Linked DNA regions of Saccharomyces cerevisiae S288C. Changing the gene in region 1 together with any one later gene gives a genetic interaction. Each region holds a gene or a part of one and is shown in the gene's direction. Other genes may lie near its edges.

Region 1 (4,592 bases):
TACTATTATACTTTCATACGAATGGGGTGTTACTTTTAAGGACGACATATAAGCAATGGAACGACCAGTTAAGATAAATGGGCAATATCCTTCGGAAAGGTCAGCAAATATATTTAGCAGGTGACATGAAGAAGCAAATGTTGCTAAATAAAGATGGAACACCTAAGAGGAAGGTGGGCAGACCAGGCAGAAAAAGGATTGACTCTGAAGCTAAGAGTAGGAGGACTGCCCAGAATAGGGCAGCTCAACGAGCGTTCCGAGATAGGAAAGAAGCCAAAATGAAGAGTTTGCAAGAGAGGGTAGAGTTACTAGAACAGAAAGATGCGCAGAATAAGACTACCACGGACTTTTTACTATGTTCTTTAAAAAGTTTACTGTCGGAAATTACAAAATATAGAGCTAAGAATTCTGATGATGAAAGAATATTAGCCTTCCTCGATGATCTGCAAGAACAACAGAAAAGGGAAAACGAAAAAGGAACAAGTACAGCAGTTAGCAAGGCTGCAAAGGAATTGCCATCGCCTAATTCAGATGAAAACATGACTGTGAACACAAGTATAGAAGTACAGCCGCACACTCAAGAGAATGAGAAAGTTATGTGGAACATAGGCTCATGGAACGCTCCCAGTTTAACCAATTCGTGGGATTCTCCCCCCGGAAATCGAACAGGTGCCGTTACCATCGGTGACGAAAGTATTAATGGTAGTGAAATGCCAGATTTCAGTCTCGATCTTGTCTCCAATGATAGACAGACTGGTCTAGAAGCTTTAGATTACGACATTCATAACTACTTTCCTCAGCACTCTGAACGCCTGACCGCTGAAAAAATAGATACGTCAGCATGTCAATGTGAAATTGACCAAAAGTATCTTCCATACGAGACAGAAGATGATACTTTATTCCCCAGCGTGCTTCCCCTTGCTGTAGGGAGCCAGTGTAATAATATTTGCAACCGCAAGTGTATCGGGACCAAACCATGTTCAAATAAGGAGATCAAATGCGACTTAATAACAAGCCACCTGTTGAATCAGAAATCTCTAGCTTCGGTGCTTCCGGTGGCTGCTTCTCATACTAAAACAATTCGAACCCAATCTGAAGCAATTGAACACATTAGCAGCGCCATATCGAATGGAAAAGCGTCTTGCTACCACATTCTCGAAGAGATCTCCTCCCTACCAAAATATTCATCGTTGGACATAGATGATTTATGCAGCGAATTAATAATCAAGGCAAAATGTACAGATGACTGCAAAATAGTAGTCAAAGCTCGCGACTTACAGAGTGCTCTGGTTAGACAGCTCCTGTAGCATATAAACATATCTTGAGTATACATAATGTTGGATGAGAGCATGTAATATTGATCGCTTTGTACGATGATTATACCTTTTTTGTCTTTTTACCATTGTCTCTGATGGAATACTATTGACAATTAACAATGGTAGATATATCCGATACAAGTGGATACCTACATAAACAAGGTGTCTTACCTAGTGTTTCTTTCATTTGCACTTCTTTTTTTGCGTGTGGACTGACATCTTGGAAAGTTGAACTGTCATATTATATAGTTGTTGCAGCCGCCATGGGAAACAGTCCTTCTACTCAGGATCCATCGCATTCAACCAAAAAGGAGCATGGACATCATTTTCATGATGCATTCAATAAAGATCGTCAGGGAAGCATAACCTCTCAACTGTTTAACAATAGGAAGAGTACTCATAAGAGACGCGCCAGTCATACTAGCGAACATAATGGTGCCATTCCCCCTAGAATGCAATTACTTGCATCTCACGATCCATCGACAGATTGTGATGGGCGCATGAGCAGTGATACTACTATCGATAAGGGCCCGTCCCATCTATTCAAAAAGGATTATTCTTTGTCCTCTGCCGCAGACGTAAATGACACTACGTTGGCCAATTTGACTTTAAGTGATGATCACGATGTGGGTGCACCCGAAGAGCAGGTGAAATCTCCGTCGTTTTTGAGCCCAGGTCCATCAATGGCCACTGTCAAACGAACTAAAAGTGATCTGGATGATCTGTCTACTTTGAATTACACCATGGTTGACGAAACAACAGAAAATGAAAGAAACGACAAACCACACCATGAAAGGCATCGCTCAAGCATCATAGCTTTGAAAAAAAATCTTTTAGAAAGTTCAGCTACTGCTTCCCCTTCTCCAACGAGGTCTTCATCGGTGCATTCAGCATCACTTCCCGCCTTGACCAAGACGGATTCCATTGATATTCCTGTAAGACAACCCTATTCAAAGAAACCATCTATCCATGCATACCAATATCAATATCTCAATAACGACGAAACATTTTCTGAGAACTCTCAAATGGATAAAGAGGGAAACAGTGATAGTGTAGATGCAGAAGCAGGCGTACTTCAAAGTGAAGATATGGTTTTGAACCAGTCTCTTTTACAAAATGCTTTAAAAAAGGATATGCAACGTCTTTCAAGGGTGAATTCCTCTAATTCAATGTATACTGCAGAAAGGATAAGCCACGCTAATAACAATGGAAATATTGAAAATAACACCCGTAACAAGGGAAACGCGGGAGGCTCCAACGACGATTTTACCGCACCTATATCTGCTACTGCAAAAATGATGATGAAACTGTACGGTGATAAGACCTTGATGGAAAGAGATTTAAATAAGCACCATAATAAGACAAAGAAAGCCCAGAATAAAAAAATAAGGTCGGTTTCAAATTCGAGAAGATCCTCATTTGCTTCTTTGCATTCTTTACAATCAAGAAAGAGTATCTTAACAAACGGTTTGAATTTGCAGCCTTTGCATCCACTACATCCAATTATTAACGACAATGAAAGTCAATACTCTGCACCGCAGCATAGAGAAATATCGCATCACTCTAATTCCATGTCGAGTATGTCTTCAATATCATCAACAAACTCCACCGAAAATACTTTAGTTGTTCTAAAATGGAAAGACGATGGTACCGTGGCTGCAACCACGGAAGTCTTTATAGTAAGCACGGATATTGCTTCTGCTCTTAAAGAGCAAAGAGAGCTTACCTTGGATGAGAATGCAAGTTTAGACTCAGAAAAACAGTTAAATCCTAGGATCCGCATGGTTTATGATGATGTGCATAAGGAATGGTTTGTTCCAGATCTTTTTTTGCCTGCAGGAATTTATAGACTGCAATTCTCCATCAATGGTATATTGACTCACTCAAATTTTCTTCCTACAGCTACGGATTCAGAAGGCAATTTTGTCAACTGGTTTGAAGTATTGCCCGGTTATCATACGATCGAGCCATTTAGAAACGAAGCAGACATCGACTCGCAAGTAGAGCCAACACTGGATGAAGAATTGCCCAAGAGACCGGAACTTAAAAGATTTCCTTCTTCCTCTCGAAAATCTTCCTACTATTCTGCTAAGGGTGTTGAAAGGCCAAGTACACCGTTTTCAGATTATAGAGGCTTAAGTAGGTCCAGTTCAATAAATATGCGTGACTCATTTGTACGTCTGAAGGCTAGCAGTTTGGATTTGATGGCCGAGGTCAAGCCTGAGAGGTTGGTGTATTCGAACGAAATACCAAATTTATTTAATATAGGTGACGGCTCTACGATTTCTGTAAAAGGAGATTCTGATGACGTGCATCCCCAAGAACCTCCCAGCTTTACACATAGAGTTGTTGACTGTAATCAAGATGATTTATTTGCTACTTTACAGCAAGGCGGTAATATTGATGCAGAAACAGCAGAGGCGGTTTTTCTAAGTAGATACCCAGTTCCTGACTTGCCCATATACCTGAATTCATCCTATCTGAACAGAATACTAAACCAAAGCAATCAGAATTCAGAATCACATGAGAGGGATGAAGGTGCGATAAATCATATTATACCCCACGTGAATTTGAACCATTTACTGACAAGCAGTATTAGAGATGAAATAATCAGCGTAGCTTGCACTACTAGATATGAGGGGAAATTTATCACTCAAGTAGTTTATGCACCTTGTTATTATAAAACACAAAAGTCTCAGATCAGTAATTAGAATCTCAATTCGCAATGATTCTCACGAACTCTATTAATTCAATTTTTTTCTTTTTGATTCCTATGGCTCCTAGAACGTTTGCATTCCTTTTTTTTTTGTTCTAGTAGGTATTTCACGTCACGTTTCTGGCAATCCACTTCTCAGCATGCGTGGAATATACTTTAACATATCCAACGAATTTGCTGCATATTCTTATGTAATAGATAGCCGTTCCTAATGTGTAATGGCCTGCTTTGTTATAGAAATCATATATAAGTAGTGATTGAGCCGTAAAATCATCTCATATGCCCAATGGAAAACCAGTCATAGTATTATGAAGCATTCGCATTATTATATACCTCCATCTTCCCCTGTTATTCTGTCTTTGTATTTAAAATCATTTTTACGAATAGTGCGGTTGTCTTGGTTGATGACGTAATTCTTTGATATCTACTTATTTACGCGTTATTGGCCTTGAGTTATTAATATCATTATTGATGTTATTACTATTCACGAACAAGTTGTATAAATTTTCGAAATTATTATTATCACCATCTCCACATTGCATATATCGTTGCTCAATAAG
Region 2 (5,082 bases), on another chromosome or scaffold:
TCTCTGAATCCAAAAGTGCCATCGCACTGTGTATTTTCGAATCTATAGCCTTAATCCATGCTTCATATTCCATTTTTAATGATTCTGCCTCGTAAGTTTCCAATTCTGCATGGCTATTGGAACCAATGATAATCTTTGACAAATCCTGCAAAATAGCAGCAGTGACGAGTTGTGAGTTCCCGTGGCCATCCTGTACTCCATCGAACTCGTATTCTTTATTTTCATCCTCAATTCCGACATCATCCTCATCCTCATCTTCATCCTCATCCTCATTTTCATTCTCATCATCCTCATAATCCTCTGTTTCCGAGTCTGTCTCAAAAATGGGTTTGGTGAGCGTGCCATCAGCGCTAAAGGAGCCGTATTTCATCCAATCCGTAGAGGAGTTAAATGGATTCTCTAGTACATTCTTCACATTGTCTGTATATGGCTTTAAATAGTACCAGGCAATCCTTAGATGATTTAATAAAGGTCCCAACTTGGAATGTAGCGAACAGCAGAGCTCATTTAGCCTTAGAAAAGAGAAAATATTGTACCAAAAGCGGTAAAAATATCCCATAATTCTCTTCAAGGATGAGTTGGGGTATCTTTCAATCAGTGGTTTTATCGATTGTGAGTACTTTCCAACTAAATAGTCAGAAACCGCTGAACCTTCAACCAATTTAGAATCGAATAGTGAGCCAACTGAAAATTCAGTATGCCGGCAAATGGGCTGTAAATCTGTGGCAAAGCTTCCCAGACCATTTTGCTGACAGACCAGATACCTTGCAATAAACACGCAAGCCAGCAAAGCAGTCGTTACTTTGAAAACGGCCTTCATGATTTTTAGTAAAGAACTAACCACCTTTTTCTTAGTTAAGAAAAGGTCAATCAGTAACAGAAATATGATAGTAGCAACACCCAAAAAAATGCTATCTTCCAATAGTCAAAAAGGAAGCCTCGATGCCATACAAGTCTCTTCTAAAGTACTATTATGTAATTCCTGTTAAATGATACCTGTATTGTGGCTTAAAAGGGCCGAAATGACAACAAAATGAGTAGGGTTAATTTAATTTTTAAAGAGGGCATTTATCTAAAAAATGAAAGACAACTATAGGGCTGGTAATTATAGAATAGGTCTTAGTAGGGTTATCCCTTCCTCTAGAAAAAAAGAAAGAAAAATAATTTTAAGTGGCCAATTAGAACCAAAACCAACAGTATCGTGGTATCATACGCTCCAAAGCAACTAGAAGAAAGGCCTTATTTGACCATTGGATTCAGTATTTTTTCTCCAAGTAGCGGTTAAAAGACTGAGAGACTAAAGCTAGATAGTGGGTTTGAGTGACTATCCCCTTTTTTCCTCCTCTTTTTTTATTATTTTGATTTTATTTCATTTTGATTTTATTTCAACACGATTAAGACACAAGCGTTACTTCCCTAGACTATAGTCTCTGCCGTTCCCATTCTATTGATTTTTGGAGCAGCAGTTTTTACAAAAGAAAAGAAAAAAAAGACGAAAACAACAAGCCAGAGTAAAGATGTCGTTTTGGCCATTTGGACAGAATCTTAATCACTCTAATATTAATAAGATCCTAGATGAATATTTTCATGTGCTACACGAACTGGAAAGGATTAACCCAAGCGTTGGTAAAGCCATTCCCGCTATTTTCAACAACGTTCAGGAACGAGGTACAAGTGACTCCCTAGATTCTATTCCGGAGGAGTATAGTCATGGTGATGAAGTGAAAACGGCACGTGGAGATCAGAAGAGTCGATTTGAGAAGGATGATCAGCAAGAACGGTATGAGAAAGAGGAAGAGGAACGGAGCATGAACTCTAGCGAATCTTCCACTACATCTTTTTCTTCTGGGTCAACTTCTAAAACTGATTTAGATGAGGAGGATATCAGCAATGCTACTGCTCCCATGATGGTCACCACAAAGAATTTGGATAACTCTTTTATTGAAAGAATGCTTGTAGAGACAGAGCTACTGAACGAATTATCGAGACAAAACAAGACGCTACTTGACTTCATTTGCTTTGGATTTTTCTTTGATAAGAAAACTAATAAGAAAGTGAATAATATGGAATATCTGGTCGACCAACTGATGGAATGTATCTCGAAGATTAAAACCGCCACCACAGTGGATTTGAATAACCTGATAGATTATCAAGAACAGCAACAGCTTGATGATAGCTCACAAGAGGACGTTTATGTGGAATCTGATACGGAGCAAGAAGAGGAGAAAGAGGACGATAATAACAGCAATAACAAGAAGAGACGAAAACGCGGAAGCTCCTCGTTTGGTAACGATGATATCAACAACAATGACGACGACGACGATGCGAATGAGGACGATGAATCTGCTTATTTGACAAAGGCCACCATAATATCTGAAATCTTTTCCTTAGACATATGGTTGATTAGCGAGTCATTAGTTAAAAACCAATCATACTTAAACAAGATTTGGTCTATCATCAACCAGCCAAATTTCAATTCTGAAAACTCTCCCTTGGTACCCATATTCTTAAAGATTAACCAAAATCTGTTGTTAACCAGGCAGGATCAATATTTAAATTTTATTCGAACGGAGAGAAGCTTTGTTGATGATATGTTAAAGCATGTTGATATTTCCCTATTGATGGATTTTTTCTTGAAAATAATATCCACAGATAAGATTGAATCACCCACGGGAATAATTGAATTAGTATATGATCAAAACTTGATCAGCAAATGCTTAAGCTTTCTAAATAACAAAGAGTCCCCAGCTGACATCCAAGCATGCGTGGGTGATTTCTTAAAGGCTCTGATTGCCATTTCTGCTAATGCACCCTTGGATGATATTTCCATTGGTCCAAACTCCTTGACGAGACAGCTAGCATCTCCCGAATCCATTGCAAAGCTAGTCGATATCATGATCAACCAAAGAGGTGCCGCATTAAATACCACAGTTTCGATTGTCATTGAGCTGATAAGGAAAAACAATTCAGACTACGATCAAGTTAATCTTTTAACCACTACTATAAAGACTCATCCACCTTCAAATAGAGATCCAATATATTTAGGCTATCTACTTCGGAAATTTTCAAACCATTTGTCCGATTTTTTCCAAATCATTCTAGATATTGAAAATGACGCCAACATCCCATTACATGAAAATCAGTTGCACGAAAAATTTAAACCTTTAGGATTTGAAAGATTCAAAGTGGTGGAATTAATCGCCGAGTTACTGCATTGCTCTAATATGGGATTAATGAATTCCAAAAGGGCAGAAAGAATAGCCAGAAGAAGAGATAAAGTAAGGAGCCAGTTATCCCATCATTTACAAGATGCATTAAACGATCTGAGTATCGAAGAAAAGGAGCAACTTAAAACGAAGCACTCTCCAACACGTGACACTGATCACGACCTAAAAAATAACAACGGTAAAATAGATAACGACAATAATGATAATGATGATGAAAGTGACTATGGCGACGAAATAGACGAGAGCTTCGAAATTCCATACATCAATATGAAGCAAAACATAAAACTTAGGACCGACCCCACGGTCGGGGACCTATTCAAAATCAAACTATATGATACGCGAATTGTTTCCAAAATAATGGAACTATTCTTAACACATCCTTGGAACAATTTTTGGCATAATGTTATATTCGACATAATTCAGCAAATCTTCAATGGAAGAATGGATTTTTCCTATAATTCCTTCCTTGTTTTGTCTCTGTTTAACTTAAAGAGCTCCTATCAATTTATGACTGATATCGTCATATCAGATGAAAAAGGAACGGATGTTTCCCGATTTTCTCCCGTTATTAGAGACCCAAATTTTGATTTCAAAATAACTACAGACTTCATATTAAGGGGCTACCAGGATTCATATAAATTTTATGAGCTAAGGAAAATGAATTTGGGATATATGGGCCATATTGTCTTGATTGCCGAAGAAGTGGTCAAATTTTCTAAATTGTACAAAGTGGAACTAATATCTCCCGATATTCAAGTAATTTTACAAACCGAAGAATGGCAATACTACTCCGAAGAAGTCTTAAACGAAACAAGAATGATGTACTCTAAAATTCTTGGCGGTGGAAGTTATATTGATGATGGAAATGGTAACATCATTCCGCAGCTGCCTGACAATACTACTGTATTAACTCCAAATGGTGATGCAAGTAATAATAATGAAATCCTTGATTCAGATACCGGGAGTAGTAATGGAACAAGTGGTGGCGGCCAATTAATCAATGTTGAGTCTCTAGAAGAACAGTTGTCCTTATCTACAGAATCTGATTTACACAACAAGTTAAGGGAAATGTTAATCAATAGGGCTCAAGAAGACGTTGATAATAAGAACACGGAAAATGGGGTTTTCATACTGGGGCCGCCGGAGGACAAGAACAGTAATAGTAACATTAACAATACCAACCATAATAGTAATAATAGTAATAACAACGATAATAACGATAATAATGATAATGACAATGATAATACTCGTAATTATAATGAAGATGCTGATAATGATAATGATTATGATCATGAATGATACATTGTTTTGTACTTTTCTTTAATTTGTATATATATATATTAATTTATATGTATAAGTACCATGTAGTTTTCTATTCATTCATTCATTCATCATGATAATATTACTTCTTACGTATCATTTACGTGAATAGATCACTTTACCGTTAGGCAATTCCATTTTCTTTTGGCCTTTCTTTGCAGAACCCTTTTTTACTTTGTTCCCCTTTTTTGTTTGGTTACCATCATACTTTTTACTATCCGTTATTATTTCTTCTTTTCCTGCGCTACCAACAGATTTGCCAAACGTCATGTTCCAAACCGAAGCAGGTATTCTCCAAAACAAACAGTTCTTTACTGAAGGTTTATCCAAGGTATCTGGCGAAATTAGTGTTTCACTTCCATCAGGCTCTACAACATAGACATCGCTAAACCTTACAACCAAACTTTTACCCTCATCCTTTTCATGTTGTTTAAACGTTAGTTGTTTTACGCCTAGTCCATTGGTATCATCCTGTTGTTTACACTGACTGATGAAGTTTTCAATTCTTGATCTTTGAGAACGATATTGAATAATA

Evidence for each region.
Region 2: mutations in SIP1 (region 1) and SAP155 together harm fitness more than expected from each alone (negative genetic interaction), as found in Saccharomyces cerevisiae (2 studies listed by BioGRID).

The regions. Positions count from the first base shown.
Region 1 is NC_001136.10:1,314,761-1,319,352, reverse strand, and holds SIP1 (Sip1p), read left to right. Parts: upstream 1-1,579; coding exon 1,580-4,027; downstream 4,028-4,592. Other genes in the region: CAD1 (Cad1p), read left to right, coding at 78-1,307; ARO80 (Aro80p), read right to left, coding at 4,461-4,592. UniProt on the Saccharomyces cerevisiae protein: Beta subunit of the SNF1 kinase complex, which is required for transcriptional, metabolic, and developmental adaptations in response to glucose limitation.
Region 2 is NC_001138.5:232,725-237,806, forward strand, and holds SAP155 (Sap155p), read left to right. Parts: upstream 1-1,517; coding exon 1,518-4,526; downstream 4,527-5,082. Other genes in the region: OSW7 (Osw7p), read right to left, coding at 1-820; ERJ5 (Erj5p), read right to left, coding at 4,644-5,082. UniProt on the Saccharomyces cerevisiae protein: Positive regulator of protein phosphatase SIT4. Involved in directing expression of TOR-repressed genes and in dephosphorylation of NPR1 in response to nutrient starvation. Negatively modulates K(+) efflux of the cell by the Na(+)-K(+)/H(+) antiporter NHA1.